Pelodiscus sinensis: one gene and its partner. The protein of the gene in region 2 interacts with the protein of the main gene of each other region in a biochemical or structural test. Links are inferred from orthologs where the notes say so. Each region holds a gene or a part of one and is shown on either strand. Other genes may lie near its edges.

Region 1 (7,404 bases), on a different chromosome or scaffold from region 2:
TGTGAATACAATATTTCATTTATACTATTATTAATCATGTCAATTATCACTATTAATAGAATATTTTCAGTCCTACAAATGGGCTCTTTGTTGACCACTTGTTCTGAATTTTGATGTAGTTTGGCTCTTTGGTTTGAAAAGGCTGCTGACCCCTGCTGTAGACTTTAAGGTCAGAATTTACCATTGTGGTTATCTAGTCTAATCTGCACATTGCAGGCCATAGAAACCCACCCACTTCTGTAATGGACCCCTAACCTTTGGCTGAGATAATGAAGTCCTCAAAACCTGATTTAAAGAGTTCAGGTTTCTAAATACATAAACATTTTCACTTCATTTTTCTGATGTCAAGTGTGCTACCTGCTGCTGAGACAATCTAGATATGAATTTTCTGGAATGAAAACACACACTCTCACTTCCCTTCTAAAATTAGCATGTTGTCTGATTAATGTAAAAGTCTAATGATGGCTTATGGCCAGTAAATCCTAGAGGAAAGTAGAGTCCAGTTTACCATCACTTACCTGGGGCTTCAGGTTCAATATCATCCAGTGCAATTGGCTGCTCTGTGTCACCCCACCAAGCTATAGAGAGGACATAACTGACCCCAGGCTGCAAGCCCAAATTGCTCCAGTAGCATACAGTCTGAGGTTCTCAAGTATTTTGCCACTAGAAGATTGACCTGGCATTGCTTGGGTCCTTCACTCAAAATGTTTTCTTTTTCTTCATTTAAATAATTGCTGTGGGATGGGTCTGGGGATGAAGGGTTCAGGATGCAGGCTGCCCCAGGGAGAAAGGACAACCCCAGCTCTTTGACTGCAGCAGCTTGGGGCCAGGTGAGAAGTGCCTATCTGTGGCTGTTGCAGCGGGCACCACCGTGGAGGAGTGCAAGTCCCCCAAGTGAGGGACAGACGCAAACAAACTTTCTGAGAGTAGGATAGCTCTCCTTTCTCCCACCCATGCTCTCTGCTGGCTTAATGGGGTTATAGCAATTCTTGTCCCCGTGCTCTGTCTCTGTTGTCATTCTGCAGTATAAATGTCCCTCTTACCAGTCTCTTCCTTTTTCCATTTTATGAGAAACCATTGAATTCCAGGCACATCCCATTGCCCTGGCACAATCAAACCCTGACCTAGATTTAAGTTATGATAGGAGGAAGTTGCATACCAAAGTTGATGGTTCTGGCTCGCTGCTTAGGAGATATTCTTGAACAAATAGACTCACGGATGGACAGACACACAAACTCTCTAAAATACATAGCAGATAATACTCCATTTTTACAACCTAGGTAAATGAGCTCAAGCCCCAGTTTTTGTGTGCTGGAGATGATATTCATATATATGGACTACTGGTGAAATGCTAGAATATGGGTATTCTATATCCTTTCCTTGACATATTGCAGTGAAAAGGATGAGCTTAGGGCAATCGTGGCATGGGCTACTGGAGCCTTGGAGAACATTTGTTTGGTGCAACCTGTAGCAGGTGCCAGCCCTGCTTTCCATCCTTTGAGCCTTCTGTTCCCACCAGCCCATTACTGTCTGCAGTCTCCTGCAGTCTGTTCCACTGAGAGCCCTCTCCAGTTAACCACTGTGGTGCCCTGTCATAGCATATTTGAGTTCCAGATACCAGCATTGTTCCTGTATGAGGTGCATCATGTGCACATGACTTACTTAACCACATCCTTTTATCTGTGCTACCTGTTTCCTGCCCTATGATTTTGTTATCTCCTCCTATGCTCTGTCATGTCTGAAATTTGGCCGTTAGCACTCTGAAACCGGGAGCTTGTGTTTTTAATCAATCTTATAGACATGTGGGACACATTGGGAGGATGCAAAATAATACACAGCAATACTACTACTGTAATTAACTCTATAGAGATGCAGGGGTTGTAGTAACCTAGAGTGTCCTCTATAGCTGTGTTAGTCTGTAACTTTAAAACAAAATACAGGACTATGTAGCACTTTAAAGACTAACAAGATGGTTTATTAGATGATGAGCTTTCGTGGGCCAGACCCACTTCCTCAGATCAAATAGTGGAAGAAAATAGTCACAATCATATATACCAAAGGATACAATTTAAAAAAAATGAACACATATGAAAAGGACAAATCACATTTCAGAACAGAGGGGGGATGCGGGGGGGGGGGGAAGGAAGGTGAATGACTGTGAGTTAATGATATTAGAGGTGGGGAAGGGTAGATGTCTGTGAGTTAATAGTATAGAGGTGATAATTGGGGAAGCTCTTTTGTTAGTCTTTAAAGTGCTACATAGTCCTGTATTTTGTTTCAGCTACACCAGACTAACACGGCTACATTTCTATCACTATGTAACTTTAAAAGTGAGTAGTCTGTGGCACATCAGAGCAGGGGTGGGGAACTTCAGGCCTGGGGGCGGATGTAGCTCCTGGCTTGCCTGGATGTGGCCCTCAAGGCTCAGGTCTCACTGAGCCCATGCTGGTGTTCCAGCCCTCTCCTCCTGTCCCCTCTTCCCTTCCCCCCCCCCACCACTGTAGGGCTGAAGCACACAAAATCTACTATGCTGACACCCCCCGCCCCCTGGCTCTGGTGTGGGAGGAGAATGTGGAGAGTGTCTTTCTCCTTCTCAGTTGGGGACTATGTCTTTTGTGTGTGGCCCCCTGATTTTTCTGGGGTTCAGTGGCCCCTGACCCCAAAAAGGTTCCCCACTCCTGGCTTAGAGACTAACAAAACTATATAGGATCACTAGGGGGCAGTGCCCCTCCCTGCTCGCTACATTTGCCAACCTGCCTCTGTGCGGGTCGGCAGCCCCTGCCCTGGTTCTCCCTCAATCCCGGCCACCAGAGGTTGGGCTGGGCTGAGGACATGGCTGGCCCGGCTCTCTTCCCTCTGGCTGCTGGGGGGTTGGGCAAGGCCATGCGACTGGCCTGGCTCTCTTCCTCCTGCCGTGAGGCGGGAGGGTATGCAGCTGCCCCGGTTCTCTCCCTCCGGCTGTGAAGGGGGAGGGCACATGGTTCACAGCTCTCCCTCCCCGTAAGGGTGGAGTGCTCGTGGCTCTGGGGGAGCAGCACGATTTAAAACTCCAGCAGCTGCCCGCAACATGGTGGCTGCCAGAGGTACAGCCAGCCCCAGTCACAACTCAGGGCCAGGGTGTCCCACAGTCTGGGCCCCACTCCTGCAGCAGGCCGTTCTGCTGGCCCCCTCACCCGCTGCTGGAGCACCATAATTTTCCTCCTTCCCCCACCCCACACAAGCCTAGCAGCAGGAGCAGCTTATCTTCAGTGCTGCTGCTGCCTAGGAGCCATAGGTTGCTGATCCCTGCCGGGTTAGCAGTGGGGAGGAGGGAGGAAAGTAGGAGGCGGGGTGGTGGATGATGTCATGTCACTCAGTCATCCCACAGCAAAATATATATATATATATATATATATATATATATATAAATAAAAGATGAGCTTTTGTGAGTAAAACCTGCTTCATCAGATACTGTGGTGGTGGCTGGAGGTGGTAGGCCAGGGACCCTAGTGTGAGGGGGACTGTGGGTCCCAATTCAGGCAGATGAGGTTCTGGGAGATGACTCATCTGATGAAGTGGGTTTTACTCATAAAAGCTCATGATCATATTTATAGATTTTAATAGTCTCATAGCTATGGGCGAGTAGATTACACTAATTGTTGAGCCCTGCTCATAGCACCATCTAAACGTTTTGTTAGTCTTTAAAGTGCTACTAGACTATTTGTTGTTTTTTAAGTTTTTCCTGTTACTGATTAACTGAGCTACGCCTCTGAATCGTTAGTATCTGAGATGCCACAGGAGTACTTATTGCCTCTATCGATACAGGCTTTGTTCCCTTATGTATGGTAGCTGCACTATCCCCTGCTCACTGGGGTGCTGATGATGGAAACCATATATTTTGGGTTTATTACAATTTCAAGCCAGAGGCCTGCAGCACTCCTAGTTCCAATACCACTGCCTATAGATGCCAGTACAGATATTCCCTTCATCCCTGACAGATTGCTGTGGTGCACTTATCTCCCCTATAGAGTCCATGCTCTCTCTAGTCTGCTGCCTGCAGTAGGTATTAATATACCTATCTCATAGGGCTTGAAAGGGACCCTTATGGCAGGGCCAAGTACTATACCATCCCTGACCAATTTGCCCCAGATCCCTAAATGGCCTCCTCAAGGATTAAAGTCACAAGCCCGGCTTTAGCAGGCCAATGCTCAAACCACTGATCTCTCCCTCCCCTGTCTAACAACTTGTTCTGAAACTCACATACAGCACGCCCGACCGCGGGTCTAATTTCCCACCCACGATATCTGCCTCTAGAAATCTAGCTCCCACGGGTCAGCCCGCCCAGCTCACCGGTCCTTTCTTCCTGCGCCCGCCTGCACCGCCTCCCGTCAGCCCCCGGACTCGCTTACCGCCGCACTTCCCGCGTTACGGTGACGTGGGCGGGAGGAAGGCCGGGCTAGTCGGAGCGACAGCGGCGCAAGATGGCGGCCACCACGGGCTCGGGTGAGCGGGGCTCGGGTGGCCGAGGCCGGGCCGGGGAGGAGGGGCTCGCCGCCGGAGGCGGGGCAGCTGGTACCGGCGGACGCGGCGGTGACCGGCTTTGGCCCAGCGGGCTCCCGTGAACGGGGGCTCGCCGGCGGGGCGTGTCTGCTGGGGCGGCGGCGGCTTAGGGGCGCTAGGCCGGGAGCCCCAGTCCGGGCGTGTGAGGTTCCGAGCGAAGAGGCCCTGGGGGTGTCTGGGGACTGCAGGGGAAGGGTGACAGTGGGGTGCCGGCTGGAGATGGGGGTGCTGGGCTGGAGGGGGCTTCCTTGTGTGCTGGGTGCGGTGTCCATGGGCAGAAGGGCGTTCTGGGGGTGCTGGGCTGGAGGGGGCTTCCTTGTGTGCTGGGGTGCAGTATCCATGGGCAGAAGGGCGTTCTGGGGGTGCTGGGCTGGAGGGGGCTTCCTTGTGTGCTGGGTGCGGTGTCCATGGGCAGAAGGGCGTTCTGGGGATGCTTGGCTGGAGGGGGCTTCCTTGTGTGCTGGGGTGCAGTATCCATGGGCAGAAGGGCGTTCTGGGGGTGCTGGGCTGGAGGGGGCTTCCTTGTGTGCTGGGGTGCAGTATCCATGGGCAGAAGGGTGTTCTGGGGGTACTAGTTAGAGGGGGGCTGCCTTGTGTGCTGGGGTGCAGTATCCATGGGCAGAAGGGCGTTCTGGGGGTGCTGCCTTGTGTGTCAGGATGGGGCATTTTCGAGAACAGGGAGCATTCTGGATTCCATAACCTAGAGGAGGAATGCCATGTGTGCCAGGCTGGGTGTCTTTGCAGGGGATAAGGTTATGGGAGTACCAGGCTGAGAAATGGCAAGATGGTAGGTTGTCGGGAAAACCAGGCTGGAGGAGAATAAGGATGACTTGTTCCAAGTTGGGAGGATGTTCTTGACTGCTTCTCCTTTACCCTTAACCTGATTTCTTCTTCTCAAGCATTCAACCCTACTTTGTCTTTTATTCTTTCTGGCTATGTCTAGACTGGCCCCTTCTCTGGAAGAGGCATGCAAAGTAGGCAAGTCAAATAGGGAAATCCGCGGGGGATTTAAATATCCCCCACGGGATTTAAATAAACATGGCCGCCGCTTTTTTTCCGGCTTGGGGAAAAGCCGGAAAAGAGCGTCTAGACTGGCGCAATCCTCCGGAATAAAGCCCTTTTCCAGAGGATCTCTTATTCCTACTTGCAAGTAGGAATAAGTGATCCTCCGGAAAAGGGCTTTATTCCGGAGGATCGCGCCAGTCTAGACGCTCTTTTCCGGCTTTTCCCCAAGCCGGAAAAAAAGCAGCGGCCATGTTTATTTAAATCCCCTGCGGATTTCCCTATTTGACTTGCCTGCTTTGCATGCCTCTTCCGGAGAAGGGGCCAGTCTAGACGTAGCCTCTGAGTATATTCTTTCCAGATTAAAAGGGCTGTTGGAATAAACCTGAAGTTACTGAAGGTTGGTCGTAATTGGGCATTTGTATTGTCATCATAGTTATGAAAGTGAGGGGTGTAAAAAATCTGTGTACTTGAGAGACATAGCTATACAGGCAGTCCCCGGGTTACGTACAAGATAGGGACTGTAGGTTTGTTCTTAAGTTGAATCTGTATGTAAGTCGGAACTGGCGTCCAGATTCAGCCGCTGCTGAAACTGATCAGTTTCAACAGCGGCTGAATCTGGATGCCAGTTCTGGCTTACATACAGATTCAACTTAAGAACCCCAGGTGTCCCCAAGTCAGCTGCTGCTGAAACTGATCAGCAGCTGATTCCAGGAAGCCGGGGGCAGAGCAACTCTGCCTCGGGCTTCCTGTAGTCAGCCGCTGGTCAGTTTCAGCAGCGACTGACTTGGGGACGCCTGGGGCAGAGCAGCTGGGGTGCTGCCGGGTTGGTCCAGTAGCGCCGAGGAGCGGTGCTGCGGGACCAACCCAGCAGCGCCCCGGATGTTCTACCGTGGGCAGAAAAGCCTGGTCTGCTGGGAGGGAGGGGGCACTAGCTGAGCCCCCCCTCCAGCAGACCAGGGAGACGCGGAGCAAAGCTGCGGAGGAAGCCTGCAACGGGACAGCCCAGACGCGCCGCTGCTGTCCCACTGCGGGCGGCCTCCGAGGCTTTGCTCGCCGTCTCCCTGGTCTGACCAGCAGACCAGGGAGACGGGGAGCAGCTTTCCTCCCCCCGGAGGACACGGGTGGCGGGACCGCTCCCGTCCTCCGGGGCAAGAAAAGCTCTGTTCGTAACTGCGGATCCGACATAAGTCGGATCCGCGTAACTCGGGGACTGCCTGTACTTATTTACTGTCTGCTCCTTCCCCCCTTCATGTGGACATTGCTAGGTTGACCAAAGAATTCTTGTTTCAGCCTAGCTACCACCTCTTGAGAGATTGCATTACCTACGCTCCTGGGAGAACCTCTCCTGTTGATGTAGGTAGTTTCCCACTGGGGACTTGTCTACATGTAAGATGATACAGTGGCACATTGCACCACTGTAGTGCATCAGTATAGACACTGCTTACACCAGTGGGAGGGACTCTCCTGTTGGTGTAGTTAATCCACCTTTCCAAGAGACAATAGAATTCTTCCGTCAAAGCAGCACTGTGCATATGAGGATTTCGTTCGTCTTAACTATGCATAGCTGAGCTGAGTTAATTTTTTAATGTAGATTAGGCCTGAAGAACTAGAGGGGCACAATCACAATAGTTTAAATATACTCTGAGACATTTCAGCATAGGAGAGCATGGGAGAAATGGATTTTTTTAATCAAAATACACTTTTCACTAGGATAATAAAATCCATCCAAACCCACCTATGCAAAATTAATTGTAACTCTGGTAGATTTCAGTGTGGTATAGTTCTTTAATGACCATATTCACCCTTTTTATCTCATCACTGATGCTCATCTTCTAGGCCAAGAAAATACTTATTTTAGGA
Region 2 (7,820 bases):
TTGGTTAGTCGACTATGCTATTACATCCCTAAGAAGCACCTCTCTGCCAACTTAGTAACATTACCTCCCTCAGTGATGTAGGATCACACTCAATGTAATTAAGTTGATGCAGTGTCAGCTTAGCATGTCAATTGCATCAACTGTTACTGGCTTTCACAAGCCATCCCACAATGCTCCACAATATAATAAAGTGTTCTAGGTGAGGACACACAACAGCAAAGCAAGAAGCCAAGTGTGTGTGCACACAAATGTTTTATTTAGGTTGAAGTAATTTTGTTGTTTACACATGGCCTTAGTTTTCAAACTAGATTCCCTGTTGTATTCCACAATTCTTTTTAAACAAGACTTTTCTTCCATTATAGAGAAACTATTAGGACTAGATTTACTATTCATTAAAGGAGGTATAAATATTGTTCAGACTAAATCAGATACCGGGCTCACTTGTCGTACAAAACTTTACCACTGTACCGCAATCCTGACATTATACAGTCCTAAAAAAAAACCTTAAACAATGGTCTTGTAGCAGCTTAGAAACTAACCAAAAGATGTGTAGATAGTTATGAGCTTTCGTGGGCACAACTCACTTTTTCAGATACTATCTGTGCGCGTTTTGGTTAGTCTAAGGTGCTATATAGGACCAGTGTGGGGTTTAAGTTTTTTTTTGTTTTAGTTACAGAGTAACAGCTACCCCTCAGACTATTATACAGTCCTGTTTTTAGTTCTGGACTTCTTGACAGAAGCAGCAAATAAGACTGATGCTGAACTGCATAATGGTTTAATAATATACTGAAATCAGGATTATGAGAAGACTAAGCAAACTCATTTTTATTTGGAATTTCAGTAATTATTTTTGAACTCTTCTCAGAAGTAAAATGCTAGCACAATTAATAGATTTCAAAGCAAGAATGGACTACTGTGATCATCTAATTTAGTCTCCAGTTTAACACAGGTAATACAGAACTTCCCTGAAATAATTCCCAGATCACTGACCTGCTGTACCTCCTCTAGAGCCAAACACTTTAGCTACATAATTATATCAAGTTATATCCGATTAATGTCCCCTCCCTCATTTAATCACTTTCCCAAAACAACAGTCATGATACTCTATCGCCTCTAAAATAAAATTTTAAAACTGGTACATTAAGACTAAATTTCTTTGCTGGCTCATTCTTGGGTATTAAATTAATTAACAACCATATTATGTGCTTCTGTCATGAGTAACTAGTGATTTTAGATGCCAAACCTGAGCCTCAAAAAGGGGCCTTGCTTTCAAACAATGGGTACTCAGAAATTTTTGAAAGTCAGGCCTTTAAAAAACAAACAAACAAATCCTTATTTTAGGCACCCAAAATTGAAACAACCACAATCACTGATCACATATGAAAATTGACTTAGAAGACTTGTAAATAAAAAAAAAAAAAAAAAAAAAAGATCACATTTTGTAAATATCATAATAGGAACTATGTTCTATTCATAAAAATAATCCAGGAAACTTGCATAGGAAATCTTCAGGGTAGGTCTCCCCTAATACATCTACAGCATACAAAGTGCTAAAGACCCAATCATCTTAACAGGACATTACATCTTTTCTATTTTGCAACATTTTGTATTCACAAAAACAGGAAACAACCTTTTCCCACCCAGCACCCTCTTGCAAATTCATGATTTAGGAAAAAGTCATTTTGCTGAGCACATTCAGAAGCAACCTCTGTAGTTCAGTCTATCGCCAACTAAAGTTACAAAATTTTAGAGCGGTGGATTTTAAACACTTAGTTCAATAAAAAAAAATCGAAGGCCTTTGAATGTAATCTGAAAATACAAAGTACTACTGTTGAAGTACAGCAGGCGTAGACACACACACGGAACTCTGTGTAGCACAGATCATGTAACCATAGATTTTGAGTCACATTTACTTAAAAGAAACACACAATCAGCATGAAAGTACAGGTCACTCTACCCAGTTAAGAGATTTTTGGCATGGGGGGAGGGGCCTGGGAAAGAATCACATGTGAAAATATAGCTGTTCTTACTCTCCTCTGCCTTTGAAATTAATCTTTTTTTTAATACATGTCCCCCAGCTATTATTTTACCTTTGCAAATACACTGCTTACCCCTGTAAAGAGCGTGGGGACATGGGTTACACAATTTTGTTTCTGCTAGCAAACTAAACTTGTGTTGGCTCATAGATCCTCTTTAAACGAGCCACAAAACACAGGCGAAAGGCACAGAAAACTATTACAACACAGACATTGTGAGAGAGCTTAGAAATAATCCAACACACATTTCAACTGACTTTTGGAGACTGGTTATGGGGATTCCTCCCCAGTAAACAGCAGGGAAACTATTGTGTCATCTAGGAAACGCCACGACTTACGAGTTTAACCCAGGCCCACAAAAGCCCCTTTGTTTTGTTTTGACCCTTCTGCTCCCCAGCCGCTCCACGGAGCGGTGTGGAAACAGGGTCCTGGGCTAAAGGAAATGAAGTCAGAGCTCGGGAGACGCGTCTAGTTTCGGGGGGGGGGGGGGGGAGACAAGAACTAAATAAAGTTGTAAGACACTAAAAAGGGAGCCAGAGGGGCTCGGCGACCCAGGGCCGCGCACCCAGCGGAGGGGCTGGGGCGGACGGGGCCCGGGAATGGCCCGTTGGGGGCACTGAAAGCCCGGCGCGGACAGGCAGGGGTGGACACGACACCCCCCGACGTGCCAAGCAGGAGAACGCAGCGCAGGACGCGGGGGGGGAGGGAGACCCGGCGGGGATTTCTGCCCCCCCCCCACCCCCCGGTTACCACACACCGGCCCACAGCGGCGAGACTCACCCGGGCCAAACCAGCGGCGCCGACCGTGGCGATCCCCCGCGGCCGGAGGCGCTGCCCCGCCGCTCCGGGTCCACAGACGCCCCGCGAGGGAGAGGAACCCACGACGGGCTGGGGCGCGGAGCCCAAAGCGCCTCCCCTCAGGCGGCAGGGCGGCGGCGGCGCGACGCGAGCAGTTCCCTTTGTGGCCGGGATCGCGAACACGAGCGCGAGCAGCCAACCGCCAACGAGCCTCCAACGCTCTGGCTCCGCGGCGGCCCGCAGCGGCAGCTCCAACACTCCGGCGGGTGGGCGGGGCGTGGTGACTTCATCACCCCGCGGCAGCGCGCAGGGGGATCATGGGAATTGTAGTTCTTTACCCACCCCTCCCCAGCTCAACTCCCCGGTGCTCTGCCCGCGCAGGTCGAGGGGAGGCGGTATGCTGCTGGGCCATGCGCCATGCAGGGCTGCTTAGCTGGCTCCCCCCTTCCCAGCCTCGTGGGCGGCGGGGTGCAGCGCTGGCTGAGCCTAGGAGCTGTCTGCCAGACTGTAGGGCATCATCAGGCCATGGACTAGCTAGCCTAGGCGACCTGATAGCTGGCTGGGGAGATTCACCCATTCCTATGCCCCTGCCAAAATTGTAATTGCAAAGAGGGGTGCCCCTGCATGCCCCTTCCCTGCAAGCACCAGTTGCCATTGTCCGCTAGCCCAGCAGCCTGGCTCCCACCCTGCCCGTGCCAGAGGTTCAGGAAAACCTACAGAATAGCCTAGGGCAAGGATGGAGTGATCCATCTCCTCTTCCACTCCCCACTCCTGGCAGTCAGAGGCTGAGAGCTGCCCCTCTAACTCGGATGAGGTTGTGCCCCGCACCATAGCCGGTAGTGTATCCTCTGTGAAACTGGAGTAGCAAATTAGCTTCTGGGCCAGCAGGGTATGTGCCCCAGCCAACTTGGGGCCTGGAAAAATGGGCTCTCCTGTGCCCTGATCCATTCTGCCCTTCCAGTGCTTCTGCATAAGGACCAGGGTGGGAGGATAGGACTAAAGGTGGAAGGGGTTGTGAGGCCTCCCCACTTGCTCTAGCTCAGGGCCCCAGAAATCCCTAATCTGCTTCTGAATAGCCCATGGAAATACACTACAGAAAAGATTGAAGCTGCCACAATCAATCTTCCAGGGTTCAAATTAGCAGGTCTAGTGAAGACACACTAATTTGAACTGAGAGGGCACTCCCATTGAGCGCAGTAGTCCTGGTCCTATGATTTCCCTTACTCCTTAAAAGGAGAATGTGCTCCCATCAACCTCCCTCGGTATGGATGGCACCAAAACTCAATTTAAGATAGTTTGACTCCAGTTGCACAATTAATGTAGCTGGAGTTGTGTATCTTAGTTTGAACTTATCCCCTAGTGGAGACCCAGCCTGGGTGAAAAAGGAGACTTCCTCTTGTTTGTATCCAACTTGCATCTGTTCAGGGAAGCCGGGGCAATGGGCTGGGAAGTCTGATACTGTGCTAGCTGAGTGCATCTGCCCATGAGAGTCAGCAATACACTGCAAAACAACTACCGGTTAGAGTTGCCTGATTGAAGCAGCATTGCCAAAGTCAAGTGCTCCAAGATTGTGAGAAGACTAAAACCATCACAATTGACTGGATAATCATGAGATTTTAAAAAAGGAAATAAATCAGGTCTGGGTGTAGGCTTCAGAGAGGGGAGAGTTCCTATTTTCATACAGTTGTAATTTCCTTGAAAGGAAGGTGGTCACTTGAACTCTGAGTGTTCGGATGTCTATTTTACAGAGTGGGAAACAGGGACAAAGCAACTGACTTGTCCGAAGTCATACAAGTCCATGGCAAAGCTATGAATCCAACTGCTGGGAAGCAAGGATTGGATATAAAATGACCTACTCACTTCTGAGGCAAATGCAACGCTATGACACAGACTTAATCATGTGTTGATGATGCCATGTGGCTCTCAGTAGTAATTTTAGGACTCTGTTGAGCCCTGGGTTGCTTTGTTGAAATGAGGACAATTCCAGAGAAAACAGTCCAGAACAGCAGATCATTTAACTTAGCTGTGTCATAATTCATCCAAAGCTGGCGAGAACAACACTTACCTCCCTGACAGTAGGGTCATGAGGCTCGATAATGGTTCTTCTACACACAGGGCTAATGTTGAAATAAGCTACATAACTTCAGCTATGCCAATTGCATAGCTTAAGTCGAAATAGCTTAATTTGGCTTTTGGTGCTGTCTACACAACAAGAAGTCAAAGGAAGAACACTCTTTCTTTGACTTCCCTGATTGCTCGTGAAATGAGGGTTACCATGAGTCAGAATAAGAAGTCCTTCAGCTCAGCATTAATTCAAAATAAAGGCTTGTAGTGTAGATGCACACTATCGTATTTTGGAATAACGCCAGTTATTCTCAAATAAGACTGCTGTGTAGATGTACCCTAAGGGTATGTCTAAACTACATCCCTTTTTTGATATAGGGATGTAAATTAGACATATTGAAATGGCAAATGAAACCGGGATTTGAATTTCCCACACTTCATTTGCATAATGGCAGCTGCGGCTTTTTTTCGAAAAGCCGCTTCTCGGGAAAAAAATGCAGTCAAAATGGGGATCTTTCCACAGAAATGTCATGTTTCGAAAGATCTTGTAAACCTCATTTTTTGAGGGTTACAGGATCTCTCGAAACAGAGTCTGTCGAAAGATCCCCGTCCTGACCGCGTTTTTTTTTCCGAGAAGCAGCTTTTCGAAAAAAAGCTGCAGCCGCCATTATGCAAATGAAACATGGGAAATTCAAACCCCAGCTTCATTTGCCATTTCGATATGTCTAATTTACAGCCCTATATAAAAAAAGGGATGTAGTTTAGACATACCCCAATGTTTAAGTTTAGGGATCATCAGACAAAAGTCCCTATAAAATTGAAAAATATTATGATTAGATTTTATAGGTTCCTTTCCCTATACTGTTAATCAGAGACACAACGGAGACACAATGTGCATCCCAAGGGCCCTGTGTGGCCTGTAAAGCCTTAAAATACATCCCACAACTGTTATCTACCTATAGTTGCGGAGTGAGAATAAAAAGCTGATCAGCTCCAGGAATGCTACTAATGGACTCTTCAGCATCACATGGGGTAGGTACCCCACCATGAATCAATGAATGACATATTGGAAATAGAAGCCAGCTCTAAAAAGCACCAGCAGTGACTCATCAACAACATCTTCAGAGACGTACATATTTAAAGAGAGACAGTAAAATTATTAAATGATTATTTAATGATGCATGAGAATTCCCATGAGCCACACCGGAGACGGTGGCATGAGCTGACGAGTAACTGATCATTGAAGTGGGGCTTATGATACACCCACAAAAACTCAGCTGATGTATGTATATCAATTATTAATAATAATTATGTACTTTAAAGTAGAAACCAGATTCCCCAGTTGAGATCTCATTGTGAGATGTTGTATAAACACATTATGAGAGACAGTCCCCTATCTTAAGAGCTTGCAATCTAAATAGACAAAAGGAACAATGGGTTGGAAGGGATACATATTCACAGAGCGATGATGTGACTTACCCAAGCTATGAAAGGCCACCATTTTGGCAGCGTTATACACTGATTTTGGCCAGTAGTAAATGACTCTACACCAGTGTAAAGCAATAGTGCATCAGGAAATCATAACTTGAAAGTGTCCTCTGATCATATTTTCTCTTTCTTGTATATATTTAAAAATACATAAATAATTTCCAATTTTATTTTATATGTAGAAAATCACTAACAAAATCTGAATTTTAATAAATAAAATCCCTTTGAACATTTTGTCCTATAATTAATGTCAAACAGAATCTTTTATTTTGTCTGAAGGAAACTCCTGACTAAATAATTGAAGGAGAAAAATTAAAATCGTACCCAGCACCTGTATATTTTCCAACTACATGTTTTCCACCCTGTGTAATAGCACAAATGGATTCTGGTCCATGACTGGCATTCTTAGGTGCAACCACAAATAATAATAAGAATAATTATAATATACAGGCAGTCCCCGGGTTACGTACAAGATAAGAACAAACCTATAGTCCCTAAGTTGAATTTGTATGTAAGTCGGAACTGGCTCCAGATTCAGCTGCTGCCACTGAAACTGACCAGGGGCTGACTACAGGAAGCTGGAGGCAGAGTTGCTCTGCCCTCAGCTTCCTGGAATCAGCCTGATCAGTTTCAACAGCTGCTGAATCTGGAGCCTGGGACAGAACAGCTGGGGCGCTGCCCGGTAGGTTCCCACAGGACCAACCGGGAAGCACCCCAGCTGCTCTACCCGAGGCGTCCCGCAACAAAAGCCTGGTTTGCTGGGGGGGGGGGGGCACACTAGCGCACCCCCCCCCCAGCAGACCAGGGAGAGCCAAGCAAAGCCGCACAGGCGGAGGGACCCCGCCGCCCGTGTGGCTTTGCTCCTTTGCCCCCGAGCAAAGCCGCCCAGGCGGCAGGATGCCACCTGTGCGGCTTTGCTCCTGTCCCCCTGGTCTGCTGGGGGGGGGGTCCAGCAAAGCCGCTGGACCCCCCCCCAGCAGACCAGGGACACCCGAGCAAAGCCGCCCAGGCGGCGGGACCCCCGCCGCCTGGGCGGCTTTGCTCCTGTCCCCCTGGTCTGCTGGGGGGGAGGTCCAGCAAAGCCGCTGGACCCCCCCAGCAGACCAGGGGGACAGGAGCAAAGCCGCCCAGGCTGCAGGGGTCCCGCTGCCTGGGCGGCTTTGCTCCCGGGCAAACGAGCAAAGCCGCCCGGGCGGCGGCTTTGCTTGGGTGTCCCTGGTCTCTGGGGGGGTCCAGCGGCTTTGCTGGACCCCCCCAGCAGACCAGGGAGACCGGGAGAAGCTTTTCTCGTCCCGGAAGACACGGGTGGCGACCCGCCGCCCGTGAGCTCCGGGGCGAGAAAAGCCCCGTTCGTAAGTGCGGATCCGACATAAGTCAGATCCGCGTAAGTCGGGGACTGCCTGTAATAAATGTAATATATTATATATTGAATAT

The links. The genes of interacting proteins can lie anywhere in the genome.
Region 1: the proteins of PELI1 (region 2) and UBE2V1 form a complex in vitro, tested with the Homo sapiens proteins (3 studies listed by BioGRID). The link is inferred for Pelodiscus sinensis from reciprocal best matches to the Homo sapiens genes PELI1 and UBE2V1.

Annotation. Positions count from the first base shown.
Region 1 is NC_134728.1:19,378,352-19,385,755, forward strand, and holds the start of UBE2V1 (ubiquitin-conjugating enzyme E2 variant 1), read left to right. Parts: upstream 1-4,326; 5' UTR 4,327-4,460; coding exon 4,461-4,482; intron 4,483-7,404. UniProt on the Homo sapiens protein: Has no ubiquitin ligase activity on its own. The UBE2V1-UBE2N heterodimer catalyzes the synthesis of non-canonical poly-ubiquitin chains that are linked through Lys-63.
Region 2 is NC_134713.1:184,653,270-184,661,089, reverse strand, and holds the start of PELI1 (E3 ubiquitin-protein ligase pellino homolog 1), read right to left. Parts: upstream 3,098-7,820; 5' UTR 2,817-3,097; intron 1-2,816. UniProt on the Homo sapiens protein: E3 ubiquitin ligase catalyzing the covalent attachment of ubiquitin moieties onto substrate proteins. Involved in the TLR and IL-1 signaling pathways via interaction with the complex containing IRAK kinases and TRAF6.